Linked DNA regions of Bombyx mori. The main gene of each other region encodes a partner of the protein of the gene in region 2 in a complex. Links are inferred from orthologs where the notes say so. Each region holds a gene or a part of one and is shown on either strand. Other genes may lie near its edges. The genes, in order: mediator of RNA polymerase II transcription subunit 9, mediator of RNA polymerase II transcription subunit 1 and mediator of RNA polymerase II transcription subunit 21.

What was found.
Region 1: mediator of RNA polymerase II transcription subunit 1 (region 2) and mediator of RNA polymerase II transcription subunit 9 share a complex: the UniProt entries of both Drosophila melanogaster proteins name them as parts of the mediator complex. The link is inferred for Bombyx mori from reciprocal best matches to the Drosophila melanogaster genes MED1 and MED9.
Region 3: mediator of RNA polymerase II transcription subunit 1 (region 2) and mediator of RNA polymerase II transcription subunit 21 share a complex: the UniProt entries of both Drosophila melanogaster proteins name them as parts of the mediator complex. The link is inferred for Bombyx mori from reciprocal best matches to the Drosophila melanogaster genes MED1 and MED21.

What each region holds. Positions count from the first base shown.
Region 1 is NC_085116.1:15,849,607-15,854,660, forward strand, and holds mediator of RNA polymerase II transcription subunit 9, read left to right. Parts: upstream 1-2,643; 5' UTR 2,644-2,920; coding exon 2,921-3,024; intron 3,025-3,107; coding exon 3,108-3,213; intron 3,214-3,403; coding exon 3,404-3,544; 3' UTR 3,545-3,907; downstream 3,908-5,054. Other genes in the region: ATP-dependent RNA helicase DHX8, read right to left, coding at 1-485, 750-843. UniProt on the Drosophila melanogaster protein: Component of the Mediator complex, a coactivator involved in the regulated transcription of nearly all RNA polymerase II-dependent genes.
Region 2 is NC_085114.1:6,960,009-6,965,557, reverse strand, and holds part of mediator of RNA polymerase II transcription subunit 1, read right to left. Parts: intron 5,282-5,549; coding exon 5,158-5,281; intron 5,089-5,157; coding exon 4,972-5,088; intron 4,301-4,971; coding exon 4,162-4,300; intron 3,542-4,161; coding exon 3,295-3,541; intron 185-3,294; coding exon 55-184; intron 1-54. UniProt on the Drosophila melanogaster protein: Component of the Mediator complex, a coactivator involved in the regulated transcription of nearly all RNA polymerase II-dependent genes.
Region 3 is NC_085122.1:11,556,380-11,562,028, forward strand, and holds mediator of RNA polymerase II transcription subunit 21, read right to left. Parts: upstream 4,143-5,649; 5' UTR 3,254-4,142; coding exon 3,212-3,253; intron 3,134-3,211; coding exon 2,855-3,133; intron 2,066-2,854; coding exon 1,940-2,065; 3' UTR 1,144-1,939; downstream 1-1,143. UniProt on the Drosophila melanogaster protein: Component of the Mediator complex, a coactivator involved in the regulated transcription of nearly all RNA polymerase II-dependent genes.

The DNA.
Region 1 (5,054 bases), on a different chromosome or scaffold from region 2:
ATCTCTAGATTCTTCTGATTTATTCTTTTCTTTGTGATCACTATTTCTACTACTCTCAATTTTTAGGGGTTCTTTTCCTATAAGAAGTTCATTTGTTGTAGAATTGGAAGGTGCTAAAGCTTCCAATTCAGCCATCGCCAAATCAACAACATTATCAGTAGAACTTGGTTTAATTTCTTCTGTAAATAAGTCTTTGGCTGTTATTCTCTTTTTGTCTTTTTCATCATCACTACTTTCATCAGAAAAAGATTGAGGTTTATCATTTGGTATGGCCAAGCCAGGAAACTTTTTTGCCAAAGGATTTTCACTTTCAGTTTCGGCAATATTTTTAATCAATGTTGATGTATTCACAGGTTTCATGTGCTGTATTATACGGAGTAGATTTGTCATGAAGGAATCAGAAAATTCAGCCCCATTTTCAACCAATGCTACTTTAAAAGTTTCAAATGTTGGATTCTTATCAGCCAAATCTATGATGAATTCCGCTGCAACAAATATAGTAATTTAAAATTCCAGACACAATTTTGTATGAAAAAATTAGAGATGTTAAAACACAAGAACCTCGAAGTATGGTAAAAGGATCTCTTTGTTTCTGACTAGCTCCAATTAACCTGATTAAAAAATGCTCGTTTTAATCTATCGTATCGGTTAACATAATTATTGCTTGGTATAAGCAACGCTGTATTTATTCTATGACATCGTTCTTTTATCATGTAATTTAATGATCAAAACAAAAGTAGTCTACTCACCTAAATCCTTGTCGTTCAAACCTAAATGGTTGTCTAGCTCGGTGCATATTTTAGACACGAGCGAAAGATGCTCTAATTTAGTGACTTCGTCCATTTTAAGTATTAGCTTCACTTTAAAACCATCAAATCTAACAAATTCTAACGTATGAACAAAGTCACACAAAACTCACATTTTTAGGCTATTTTGACTTTACTGTTTAACGAAGACTGTCACCTGTCAAAAACAAAGTGGTAGTTCCACTTTTCCAACTAAAAAGGCAAAAGTATCATACCATACAGCCTAATATGCTATTTTTTTTTTATGACAAAAAATAGTTATGACATGAAATGAAATGAAATTAATTCATTTGGAACATTAATAAATTGACCTAAAATTAAATGAAATGAGATGAGATGATATGGGATGAAATATAATTTCAGTAAAATTGTGGTTATTTACTGAAACTTTTTCAGTAAACTTTTTAGACGATCCCGAGAAGCAACGTCCAGCAGCTTTATTTCATTTTCCCACATTGGTGCACTTTCACAGATATTAAATTATTAATAAACCACCGTTATTGTTAAGTTACACATTTAATCCTGAATAAACACTAAATAGAAAAATAAAAAAATAAAAAAACTTCGTTCCTCGTATACCCTGTCAGAAACAAAATAACACACAGCAACACACTCTTAACTCATATTTTAATATACGTACGAACCATAGAAAATGATTCGGATAGAGCCTGCTACTGATGTTTCGAAGTGCCATTTGGCGTTCTTAAAATCTGATGCGATTTCAATACTAAAACGTATCACTACAGAGCTTCTTGATTTAGAAAGAATGGGGTATTTTATTACCGTAGCACCTCTGATTGATATATTTTTAATTAATTAAAATCACTAAGCACATATTATAATTAGTTGAGTAAAAACAATTACCTTCAGCGTGAATAAACTTAGTAGAATTTTAAAACTTTCGTAGAGTCGGGCCTAAAATTTATGCAGAATATAATGATAGGTAAGTAGTTTAAAAAATTTCTATTTTCTTAGTCGATTCCAAAATCTTGGCAGAAATAGGAGAAGATAACTTGTCTGAGTTGTGCTATTTTCTTAATCCAGTGTTTCTACAAGTTTAATAAATAGCAACGGTTTCGTATTCGTGAAAGTGGATAAGATTAAGAAAATGGAACCAAGTTGTTGAACTTGGTTTTTCAAGCGTTTCTAAAAAGTTAAGTGACGAGTAAACTCTCACTATTGTTCAGACTGATTAATTTATTTCGTCCCATAAAACACCGATGGTCATATAATTTCATTCAAATTCATTTTATTTCAAACATTTTTTTCATTTTATTTTACTTTTCTTTAACAGACATTACTACAGCCTTTGTAAAAAAAAGATGTGTGGTGTCGTGGGACACCGGATAGGAACGAAGTTCCTTATTATAAAAATATTAATTTCAAGTTCTATTCGAGGTCTAAAGAAAATAATTATTCAGGTATACATTTTTATTATTTTATTTTTTATTGATAAAAATATAATAATAATTACATTACAAAGTTATCAACTTTATTTTATTCACAATGATTTATAAAAAATTATAATAATAATATACAAAGAAACAGCTATTTATACGAATTATAATAATAACCGTCATCACGTAGACTATACATTAGACACTGTATAGCCATCGTACTAAGAATATACATAAAAAGAGAAAGGTATTATACACTACTCGCTTGTGTATATGACTGTCGCGCCTGCGCACGTCTTATTTAACGGTTTTATTCCACGGACTTTTTCTTACGGTTTTACTATCACATTTTTTTCAGTTCGGACGTGCAGCAAAATCCCTATCTCCTCCAAGCCTGCCGTAAAGAACTTCGTTCCAAAAATTTCGTGTATGAGCTTTATTTCCTTTGCTTGTCGAACACCGATCACACAAACATTCGACTTATTCTCCGCGATTTCGTCCATAGTCCATTGCTGTCCATAGATAACACAATAACACATCATTATTTTTGTCGTTTTCGGTTTTGTGATGGTAAAGAATCTACCTACTTTTTTACGTACCTAGGTTTATGTGTTTAATAACCATAATCTAATAAATTTATAAATTAATAAACAACGTACGTATAATAAAATCTGTTACATAATAAGCAAGTGAAAAATTGTGCTTAAAATTTGTACAATGGAAAACAACACAGATCATTCAGAACAGACGAACTACAGTCCCCTGACTGTTGAGGATGTAGATGTAGACTTTTTACCGATTGTATACGATATAATACGAAGGTATTTTGCGTATTATTTGAGACAAACTAGATTTGCTCAAGTTCATTTTGTATTTTCTGGTGCTTTAAATGTTTTTATTACAGCGTGGAGAGAGATTTTCACGACAACGCGTCGAAAATACGCGAGTCCCACGAGTGCAGTCATAGAGTTCTTGAATTACAAAAGAGGCTAGAAATAGCTAAAGCTCAGGTGAGATTACTTTCAAATACTGGAAACATACTTGGTATTTAACATTTGTAATGTAAAAATAATATGCTAAGTCAGCATAATTTTTGTATTTTGAGGAATCAAATTTATCATGAACTCATACACAAGTATCTGCCATAATATATCATCAACCAGTACACAATTATCTGCAATAATATATCACTCATTTCAGATCAGGAGGCTCCCAGGTATAGAATTCAACAAACACGACCAGCTGAAGCAATTTGAACTGCTCCGCACTCAGCTGAGATTAAAGCGTGAACTCTTACAGAAGTATCGGAATATGTGCTCATTTGAGACATCATTCAAGTGAAGATGCCTCTACGTGCGCTGCTTAAATACTTAGCCAATAATGAACGAATTGTACAGAAGATTGCAGAGTCCTACCCTGTACGAAGAGCAGCTCAGTTAGCTGTCTCAGTATTTTACAGAGGGAAGGAAAAGCTCTCTGATGTTGATCCACAGAAAGTTAATAAATTTATAGAGTTTTTAAAAAGGTTCAGTGCAAATTTGAAGGAAGGAGTACAGGATGCAAAAAAACAACTGAAAAAATAATAATAGTTCCTTGGATGTTTTTGGCTAACCATGGATTAGTTGCTGTTGATTGTAATTCACTATCAGTAGTGTCCTTTACATAATATAACTACTAAATTAGATAATAAAAAACTGTAACATAGTTAGAGCTATTTTTATTTCACTCACTCTGAACAAATCAATAAAAATATAAACTTTACTTAATTCTAAGAAAAAATCACAATATTGCAATGGTATTCATTGTAAATGTCAAAATATTGAAAATATATTTACTTTTAGAAAGCAGCTAGCTTCACTAATTTTATTGCGATTATAAGGTTTTCAGAGTTAAGGCAATGATGATTCAAAACTCTGATCTCATTAACTTTAATTTTTATTTTTAAGTGTTCAAATATTTTAAGTGACCCTAAAAGATTAAGCTTAGTGCTGTAAAAATATATACTTGAGTTTTAATTAGTGTTATAAGAACCTCGAGGTTATTAGTGATTTAACTTGCGAAAATATGCCGACCCATTGTGACAGGTGGATTAGCGGTATGGCTTGAGGCTGTCTAGATTAATCAGTGTCACTACGTCCCCAGAAAACGACAGGAGTTCTACCCTTGGTAGTAAAACTACTAAATTGTACTATGCAACAATCACTAGAAAAACCTTTAAGTTAGATAAAAAGATCAATATAGATTTTAGATTAATTTGAATAGTATGTGCCACTTTCCAGCCAGTCATTTTAGAGCAATAGTTTTGTATTAAAAGTAAAATATAGTTGTTTTACATTTAATACAGATTCTTCTCCGAATATTTGTAAAGTTATTTATCGATTGAATTACATTCTTAAAGGCGATTGCACAGTATTAGTATATTGAATAATATAATTTCGATGATAATGTATCTAGCAAACTTCTAGAAGTCCTAATTATAACTGTCCTCTGTGGACAAATATTAATATATTTTTTTTAATATTTAAAGAAAGAATTCAGATACGTTAAATTTACAGCCACTATTTCACAGAAATTAGTAACTATTAAAGTTGACAGACTTGATTAAGCTAAGTCTACCAAAAAATGTTTCTTTTTTCAATGTACATTTCTTGTACTTTTTGTGCCTATCCTACTTAAATGGTAAAAGGAAAACATTTTCAACCTATACCTACCGTATTTATGTAAAAATGAACTATAATTCTGACATTTGACGTTCAAGCATTTTTATTGAACAAAAAACTTTATTGGCATTTTCATCAAGCGCCCTTCATACCAAAATTGAAAAAGTTTAAAATGAGAGAAAAAACCCCAA
Region 2 (5,549 bases):
ATTAATTGTTACTGCTATATACGAAGGGGGTCAAACGTCAAGTTATACACATACCTCTGTCGTGGCTTGTATTAATTTCGCTAGGCCCGAGCACAGCGGCGTCGGCTGCGACAGTTTGAGGGTGAAGCAAGCCGGCAGCATCGCACTGTTCTGGGGTACCAGTGGCGCGTATACGGGACCGTTGCTTTAAAGGGCAACAATAAAATTTAAAGGTTATAAGCGTTTCCACAAATGACATGTAGTTGCAAGGGCGGATCCAGCTTTGGTGCCAGGAGGGGGTCACATAGTCATGGTCAAGTCAAGAACTTATAATTTAATTTTGATAACAATAGATGCAAGTAAAAAGTAGGTATTTTATTAATGTACGTAAGTACTGTACTTAGAAATATTTATTCTTTATTGTACACTTGAAAAACTTAACACATAATAACTTGTACCTACATATACACGTACATATTGTCATCTTCTCTTGAAGACATCCAGAGAAGCACTATCACGCCCGGAATGAGGCAGCTTATTTATATTCCATAACCGTGGTGAATGGTTTGTCATAACAGCTAAAGGTATGTCGAGGGGTATGACGCAAAAGTCCGCAAAAGTGGTACGACAAGGGTTTCCAACAAACAAAATAGAAACAGACAAAATACATATTTAAATAACAAAATCAATTTTTCTTTTACGTCTTCTCCCGAAAGGCGTTATTACGTCATTTACGTCAATGGGTACGTTTTTATGACAAAACCGATCTACACGGGAGCCCTCTTCTTCGACAGTCTGGCACAACGGTTTGATTTTCAAACTTTTCAACATGGGTGTACCGGACAGTCTCGTGCTCATCATACGGGACTTCTTGTCTAACTGCTCTTTTCGATATCGAGTAGAGGGAACCCGCTCCTCCCCGCGACCACTCACGGCTGGAGTCCCGCAAAGCTCCGTTCTTTCTCCGCTCCTATTTAGTTTATTTGTCAATGATATTCCCCGATCGCCGCCGACCCAGTTACCTTTTCTTTTTTTTTTTTTTTTTTTCCTACCTAAGCTGAGAGCCTTGAGAGGCTATGTCAGCGTAACCCTAACTTTTGTAGGTGAGCTCACGGGGCTCAAACCTGATGACGTTGCTAACACGAACCCTAGCAAGAGCCGTGCTTCGCAGAATCTACCACCGGATCGGAAACGCGACCCACTGAGAAGATCCGGCGAGAAACTCAGTGGGCCCCAGCTAGCCTTATTCGCTGACGACACAACCTACTCAAGTAGAAACAAGTCCCTAGTCGCGAGTAAGCTCCAGAGTGCAGCGTTAACCCTCGGACAGTGGTTCCGAAAATGGCGCATAGACATCAACCCAGCGAAAAGCACAGCAGTGTTATTTCAAAGGGGAAACTCACCGCTTATTTCCTCCCGCATTAGGAGGAGAAATATCACACCCCCGATCACCCTCTTCGGCCAACCTATACCCTGGGCCAGGAAGGTCAAGTACCTGGGAGTCACCCTGGATGCATCCATGACATTCCGCCCGCATGTAAAAACAGTCCGTGACCGTGCCGCATTTATTCTCGGCAGACTCTATCCCATGATCTGTAAGCGGAGTAAAATGTCCCTTCGGAACAAGGTGACACTTTACAAAACTTGCATAAGGCCCGTCATGACTTACGCGAGTGTGGTGTTCGCTCACGCGGCCCGCACACACATAGACACCCTCCAATCCCTACAATCCCGCTTTTGCAGGTTAGCCATCGGGGCTCCGTAGTTCGTGAGGAACGTCGACCTACACGACGACCTGGGCCTCGAATCGATCCGCAAACACATGAAGTCAGTGTCGGAACGTTACTTCGATAGGGCTATGCGTCATGATAATCGCCTTATCGTTGCCGCCGCTGATTACTCCCCGAATCCTGATCACGCAGGAGCAAGTCACCGTCGTCGCCCTAGACACGTCCTTACGGATCCATCAGATCCAATAACTCTTGCATTAGATACCTTCAGCTCTAACACTAGGAGCAGGCTGAGGAACCCCGGAAACCGTACTCGTCCAACTCGACAAAGAGGTCGACGTGCAACCTAACCCATGCATCAGCCCGCTGAGTTTCTCGCCGGATCTTCTCAGTGGGTCGCGATTCCGATCCGGTAGTAGATTCATTCGCGAAGCAATTGCTCTTGAGTTGTTAGGTCTCCTTCGGAGGCGCTTGGACAGTTGTTAGCAAATCCCAGCCCTCCTCACTGAGCCTTTGCTCGCCCACCTGTCCTGGTGAAGCGGAAAGGCCTCCGGGCCACCAGTAATCCTTCAAGCATAAAAAAAAAAAAACGTTTTTATTAACGTGGAGAAGTGCCAGTCCGGTTAGGCGATCTTCAACCATTGAAGATCTTAGCCACGATTTAAGTCTGCGCAACGTAGAGAAAGACCTAGACGTTACGTAGTCGACAAGGGCGCGCGAGTGTGGCGCGGTAAAACTCAAATTTTCGATGCGTTCGTTCCCTAAAATTTGCCATCATACAAAGTTATTATATTACATTAAATTAATTAAGGAGCAATATAAGGAGCAACAACATATTGTGTCCTAAAATCATTATGTTCAATATGTGGTCCACCTAGGGACCAGCTCAGGGGGGGTCATGACCCCCATGACCCCCCCCTGGATCCGCCCTTGTGTAGTTGGTAGAGCTGGTGATTTCTGTCTTGATCCGATTAATAATAATAAGAATTTTACTAACTTTATATTCTTTGGTTTTCGCGAGTCATACGTACATATTATAGTTTAAAATATTTTTACGGTTTGAAACTCGCGTTTTTATTGTCATTATATTATTATTATTTCCGACGTTTCGACTTTACAGTTTATGTGGATCACGGATGGTCAGTCGTAATGTGTAAACAATAAAAATGAGAGTTTTAAATCGTAAAAATAGTTTTAATAAGGTTTTTTTTAATACTTTGCATCCAATTCTATTTTTAAATATACAAATATATGTAGGTCTGCCTATGATTTGCACAACTATTAATGCATTATCTGCGATGAGCGAAACATAACTCTATACTGAGACCTCATGTCAAAATGTCGAGAATGAAACGATGAAAAAAACGAGGGCACAAATAAGCCAGTCAATTGTTGGAAATTATTTTCAAATCTCGTTTAATGCAAGACATACCATAGTGCTCAGCCTATTGTGGGGATGATTTCACTTCAAAGCCGGAAAAATGATGAATGAATGTGATGAGTGCAATGTTTCTAGACCGGATTCTAGGGATGAAGTCTGCTTCGGCAAGTGTTACAGTAAAGTTTTAATAAAATATAATCTCACCTTTTTCCAGATCGTTGGGCATTTGATATAATAGTCGATAACTGCAGTTTATTGGCAGTGGAGCCTTCTAATAAGACAGTGGCGGAATGACCTATAGGAGTGTAGGCGGGTGTGCCGTGTGAAGCGAAGCCGTTGGATGCCGTAGGTTTCCCGGTCGTCAAGAGTTCAGTCGTGAGAGGCTGTAGGCCCGCGTCTTTGTCTAATAGCTCGTATGGTGAAACGAAGTACGTTAGACGCATCGCGTGACCTGCGAAAAGAATTTTGGTAGTATTGCATAGAATATTTTATATTCACCGTATTAATCATTTTATGAGAATACCCGTTTAACTCAAAACAACTTAAATCTATACTAATCTATACTAATATTATAAAGAGGAAAGATTTGTTTGTTTGTTTGTATTGAATAGGCTCTGAAACTACTGAGCCGATTAGAAAAATTCTTTCATTATTTGGAAGCTACACTATTCCCCAGTGACATAGGCTATAATCTTTTTTGAAAAAAATTAGGGATCCTTACTGAAACTCCGATAATGTAACCCAAGGCGTAAAAAAATTACCTAAAAAATTCTTTACATCGCGTGTCCTGCAAAAACGATTGATGATAGAATAAAATAATATACTACGACTTTGTAGAACACATTATTATTTACAAAAAGTGTCGCGACAGCATATTTCTAACTATTATAGTTATGCCGCAATAAGTGTTCTATTATTTAAAAAAATAAAACGTCAAATATCTCTGATATTTTTGTTAAAGACCCGAGCGGAGCCGGAGCGGGTTACTAGTCATTCAAAATAATTTTAAAAATAGTTTGATAAATGTTTCTTAATTATCACATACTTTCTTACGAATTATGTATGTCTTACCTCCTCTACGTTTCTGAAGAAAACCTATGGGACTCTTGTGTACTTGTGCCCAAGGATCTTTTATAAAACTCTGTAATTGTCGTAACGTACACAGGTCATCTTCCAAGCTCTGAAGGGCAGTGAATGCTTTACATTTCACCTAAAACAAACGAGTTTGTCTTAAATGTGGGATCTGTATACTAAAGAATAGGAATTTTTTTTTTTTTTTTTTTTTTTTATTGCCCTTGTAGGCAGACGAGCATACGGCCCACCTGATGGTGAGTGGTTACCGTCGCCCATGAACTTCAGCAATGCCAGGGGCAGAGCCAAGCCGCTGCCTAATAGAGTATAATACTAAGAATTTGTAATCAAGTACCTTTGTTTTTGTAATGAGAAATTAACTATGTTTTATTAATTTGTTCAACAGTGTTAAGGAATTTAAATGGGAAATTAAAAACATCCCAGGCTAAGTATTTTTTTGTGTAATGGATTCTGAAAATCCAGACCACCATCAGTAATTTTATTTTTTGAAATATAGATAATCTGACTAGAAATATACTCAGGCTTTGATGTACTATAATAGTCAAGATTAGTAGATCAATAAGATGAGATCATAGTTTGTTAGAATGGGAAAAAAGTTTAATTTTAATTAAACAATATAGGTAAATTAATTGCTTGAAATGATCATTGCTATAATATATTATGGTGTAAGTCTGAAAACAGAACAAAACCTTAATCTGCAAAGAATGAATTTATCATGAAATCAATCTAGGTTTTTTTTTTCTTTACTAAAATACTTTTCGCTACCCATATAAATAAGTAAGTACTTGCCTTTTTCTCAGCATTAAGTTGATAAACAGCAGTCAAACCTTCTAATTGTGCTGTAAAATCTGTGAAATCTCCAGCTGATATACAGTGTACCAATTCTTCACAACTTTGTTGTTCGATCTATAAACAGAAATTTTTTAGATGACTGTGTGAAATTTTAAATCCACCCATACAGTAAAAATATATTACCTTTCCTTCATGATGTATTTTGACATCTTTTACGGAACCCGATGATTCTACAAGTATCTCTAAATAAAACATATCTGATGATATGAACAAGTTTACTCCTGAAGTGCCAACTACTAATTTTAATCTGAAAATATACAAAACATACTTTATTTACACAATATTATTTTTAGTATCCTAAGGCAAAACTACGTTATCGAGGGTTCTTATTTAAAAAAAAAATCATACAAATTGTATTACATAAACACATCATAGGATGTGAATAGAAAGTGCATAATTTTGTATGTTAGACAACACTGCGGCTGATTGAAAACTATTAGCATAGATATACTATGTATCCAGAAAGCAGCTTATCAAACATAAAATTTGTGCTTTAATTTTACGTTTATCTTTTA
Region 3 (5,649 bases), on a different chromosome or scaffold from region 2:
ATCTAACAACAACAATATATAGCCGAAAGTTATTATACCGAAAGTAGTTTTCGAGAGATAAAGAAATAGCATTTTTTTAAAATACCCTCTTTATTTATTTTTATTGCTTTTGCAGGCAGTCGAGCATACGGCCCACCTGAGGTAAGTGGTTACCATCGCTCATGGACGTCAGCAATGCCAGCCAAGTCGCTGCCTACCATTGAGCACTCTCCGCAAGTCTCGTCTGAAGAAGGACATGTCAAAGCGCTCGGGAAACACCGCGGAGGGGAGCTCATTCCAAAGGCGGATGGTACGTGGCAGAAAAAATATTTGGAAACGCAATGTCGATGAACGTAGCGGTTCCAGACAATATGGATGAACTCTGCTCCGGTGGCGAGAGGTGTGATGGTAAAAAGCAAGGAATTTCAATGTTCACGACGAAAAAAAAAAAGGGTTGATAGAATATCAGATGCGTATTTTTTTAATTAGCATTTGAGTTAGTAGGTAACAAACCATAAATAGTAATATAATATTCCAAAACATTTAGATGTGACTATTACAGCCAATAATGTTTTTGAATTTATTGTATTTTTTTTTTTGTTGCTTAGATGGGTGGACGGGCTCACAGCCCACCTGGTGATGAATGGTTACAGGAGCCTATAGACCCACCTTGAGATATAAGTTGTAAGATCTCAGTATAGTTATAGAATTATTTTACCATACTTTGTCAAGTCATCCAGCCAATAAGAATTTTATAAATCGAATGTACAACTTACTCGATAAACTTGCTTGTTCCATTAGTTATCTAAAAGCTACAATGATAGTAGTAGAATGAAATGAAGATCATTTATTTGAAATTTTAATGTATTAATATGAAATTAATTGGAAAGAAGTAAAACGAGATGAGATAAAATGAAATAACGTCCCAGTAACAGGATGGGAATTTACTGACGCTTTTTGGAGGAAGCCGTTAAGCCACATATAGGAACTTTGTTCTAATTTCCCACACATGTGCACTTTCAGAGATGCTAAAATGTAAATAAGCTACCATTAATACATATATAAACCTGAAGGAACACTACTTCTACTAAATTAAACTATTCTTTACCATTGAATCAGTATTGAAATTTATACAAATAAAACATTTGATTTAATAAAACACTCTTAGCTATCAACATTTATTTTCAATCATATAGATTTTTTTTCATTTCAAGATTATAGTTTTCTATTTCCAATCTCTAAAGTATATTAATATTTAGATTCGAGTCCATTCCAGCATATACAGGGCGTACAACAAAAAGAAAAATTAAACCTTTAATTAAACATAATAACTTAATTAAATTAATTAAACATAAAACATAAATATTTTTTAATTTAATTAAAACTCATGTTCATCATTGAATACAATCACCTTTACTTTTTCCTTGTGTTCATTTTATTTTATGTATATAGATGAACGAGTTCATCTAATATTAAGAGATTAACATAGCCCAGAGATCCCAGTCATTGCCGCCACTCATCTCAAAATCATCATCAACAACTAACCTGTGCTTCAAAACTGGAAAACAACGGCTTTACAGTATGTATAGGCAGAGTGGCGGTACCTACCCTTTCAGACTTAAAGTATGCCTTACGTAATAATAGAAAATAATGAATAAACAAGTCATGTATACTTAACTATTCAATTATAACAAATGATTACTTAAAATGATATATGTCATACCAATGTTTTTCTTATTATAGTTTCAAAAATATGACATTCAGACAATTTAGTTTTCACCGGCATGAAAGCCCTGTAACAAATTTGCAAACAACAAAAAAAAATCTTCGTCATTAAGCATTAAGATTTCAAACACAAAATTTTAAAATTCATATAATACTAAAATACTTCCGTGTATTCTTGTTTTAACGTATCCTTTTGTAGAGGAAACTACCGTTGGTAGAACCCCAGACCCCATCCCTATAACTGTGGTTTCACATCCTTGTTGAGGATCAGAGCCGGATTCTGCATGTCCAACTGGCACTGAGCAATATCACTCAGAGCACCCTGAATCTTCTCTAGAAGAATCTCTCCTTGACGGACTACCTGTAGAATTATTAAATATTGTCTGACATTATTATTAACGCTAATGAAAAGAGAGTAAGTCATGTGTAATTATTTTCATATCGACGCTTGAAAGGCAAACGTGACTAAGCGACAATAACTGCTTTATACATGATAGGCAATAACCATATTCAATGCCAAAAAAAATATATTTCTAGGTCTATTAAAATCATTTCAATCCTACAGCTAGTTTCGTTAAAATAGAATTTTTTCAGGTATTTCATCTTGAAATTAGTCTACTGTGAAGTTCACGCATTGTCGCTTAGTCACGTTTGCCTTTCAAGCGTCGATATGATTACTTCCAATATTTCAAATACTATAAGTTTTTGTAGTCATGGCAATCTAAAACATGAGATTAATCTGTAAACACCCTATGGGTTTTGAAAATTGAATAAAGTAATATTCGCTGATACAATTCCAGTGTGCCATCTCAAAATGAAGTTAAGGAAACAACTTTAACCAAATCGCTATTACTGTCAATTTTATCTTAAGTAGGTACTAATTTATGTTTAAATATTGGTGCTTGTTTACATTACAAAAGTTGACTATAGACAAAATACAATGTCTGTAATACAAATACTTTCTTGGAATATTTGATTTTACATTCAAATGGCAATACAAAAGCAAACTGCATGGCATAATTACTTCTTTAAAATCATTATTTTAATGGTTTAGTTACATGATAATTCCCAATTTATGATAAAAAAGAAAGCTAGTGTCCTTTGAGATAAATTGCACGTGTATTGGGCACGGAGAGTTGACAGCCCTTACCTCTTCAAGTTGCTCAGCAGCCTCCTTGTTCTCGGCCTCAAGTCGCCGAAGGCTTTGCACTTGCAGCTCAGTTGAACTCTCTTCACTGGGCAAAGACTCGATGAGCGTGTCAATGTCCTTAGCACAACGAGAAATTAGAGCCGCGAATAAAACCGCATAATCCTCTTGACTCTGCGGTTGTTGAGGAGTCTGAGAACCACCGCGTTCGAAGCCTGGGAACTTGCTAGGCAACGAGAACTGCTGTAGAATTCCGATGCTGTTACAAAAATTCTCAGCTTGCTACAAATAAATAAATACAACGTATGTGAAATGTATTAATGTCAATTAAAACGAAATGTTCATTTTTGTCATACGTACTTGGTTTATGGTATCTTGAAGCTGAGTTAAGCGATCAGCCATTATTCAATTCAGATATTTATCCTACTAACCACTGTTAAAATTTAATCCTTATATGGATATTTTCTATGGAAGGTGGTTTTAAGCTACCTACAGTATCAATTTGTAAAACTACCTTTTGAATGAAGTTATTTGAAGTTGAACGTTATGACGTTTTTAAGTAATATTTCCAATATTTCCAGGTGGAAAGGCGAAGATATCACACACCATACATCCTAGTCTTTTGTATGTACATTCTATTCTCTTTCATGAAAAATGATCATATGGAGCGAAATGAAATAAAGTTGATTCATTTGAGACATTAATCTAAAATCCAAATAACTTGAAGTTCTGTAAGGAAACAATTATATTACGATCGTTTAACTTTGGCGTGCAGCAAAACAGTACCTAATTTGGAATAGTAACGCCATTTTAAGCCAGAGATCTTTTTTGCCACGTACCATACGGCTTTGGAATGAGCTCCGCTCCACGGTGTTTTCCGAGCGCTATGACGTATTCTTCTTCAAACGAGGCTTGCGGAAAGTACTTAACGGTAGGCAGCGACTTGGCTGTCCCTGGCATTGCTGAAGTCCATGGGCGATGGTAACCACTTACCATCAGGTGGGCCGTATGCTCGTCTGCCTACAAGGGCAATAAAAAAATACATTTAGAACTGCAATCATTCTCATCAGTATTAAAATTTAGAAAACCATTTCTCCGTTATATACATTATAAGCTAAATAGTAATGTTGCTAATAACAGGACCACTTGACGTTTCGGTTTGAAGGGTGGGGCAGCCGTTGTAAGTATACCTTAGAACTCATATCTCAAGGTGGGTGACGGTATTTACGTTATAGATATCTATGGGCTCCGGTATCACTTAACACCAGGTGGACTATGAGCTCTTCCACCCATCTACATATAAAAAAAATTAAAAAACTTTAATTATAGGCAATGAAATGAATTTCAAAATTTCCTTTATTTAATGTAAGCAGTGTACACAATAGGTAACCATAATATTACCGACTAGAAAAACATCACAATTATTGAGTATTTAAGTATAATAAAAAACCATTAATGAACCTCTTTCATTTCAGACCTTAAACGATTATTTTTAAATTTTAGTTATTCAATGAAACAACATTAACAATAAGCTGGATTCACATTACGGATATAACGAGGTTGTGTGTTCAAACATGTTATTGTTTAATGACTACTACAACTATTAGTCTAATTCAATCTAAGGCAGCTGTGCTATAGTAAAATTGGCAGAACTTTACTAATTTGTAAAAGTTTTCCGTTTTTCTTTTCGTTTCGTGTAAGCCATTTTTTTTACAATCAACAAACACCTCCTGTCGCGCAATAAGTAAATATCAAATCCTCGCGTCATTTTTGTAACAACTAAAATTCATCAAGAAGTTGCGTCGCAGTGTGTGTAGGCTACCGAATAGGTAGGAAAAAAAACTTCCATCACCGCTTTCGCGCTATTCTCGTACGAATTAACAATAAAAGACTAGATAGCTTTCAGCCTAACCTGCACTCTTTAAAAATAACTAAGCATTTGCGGTATCACATTTTTATGATAGAAATCCGCCGTTATCGAATTTAAATTGCTTAGAAGTCAACAATGAAAATTGCTAAATTAGATTTTTGAGTACTGTATGTACATACCCAACATAGCATCTAATTTTTTTATAAATTAAGTACAAAACTTTACTAATAACAGCAATATGAATATAATTCATTAGCATAATAATATAGCAAATAAAAATTCCCACTTTTTTTTGAGTACCTAACTAAATTATCGTTTGTAAAGTAAGAAAGTGAGCGCAGTTGGTTGAATAAACTAGCACTCGACGCATGCGCATTAGTTTTTAATTTTTAAATAGGGTAAGTTTGTCTACCGCCATCCTTGTCTGACAAACGATGTTACGCATTAACTCTCTCACTCTACTTTGGATCTAGGTTTCCATCTTTATCAGCTAGCAACCCCCGTTTGCGGCCACATTTACAAAGACAGAGGTTTTAAATTGTGCACAGAAAAAAAAACACACACACACAAAACCTCGTGATTGTTATTAAAAATGTTTTAAAACAATTTAGATAAATTGTTTGAAAACTTCAAAGCTTCACACTATAGTACCAAAATTATTATCAAATACCTTAAAATTATAGATCTATTCTCAATTTATTATCAAATTTTATGCATAAATATAGTTATAAACATAGCAACAAGTAATGACTATTTACTAAAACTTTTAAAAAATCACACAATGAAATAGTTTTAACAATTCACAATTAGTTTTGTTAGAGAGCATCACAAAGCTTAACTTTTCATTTAGAATCAAGTGCAAACAATCATGCTAAGTATTGGATTTAGCTATAATTAATAAAATTTTCAATCCTCATTAAAGCTTTAC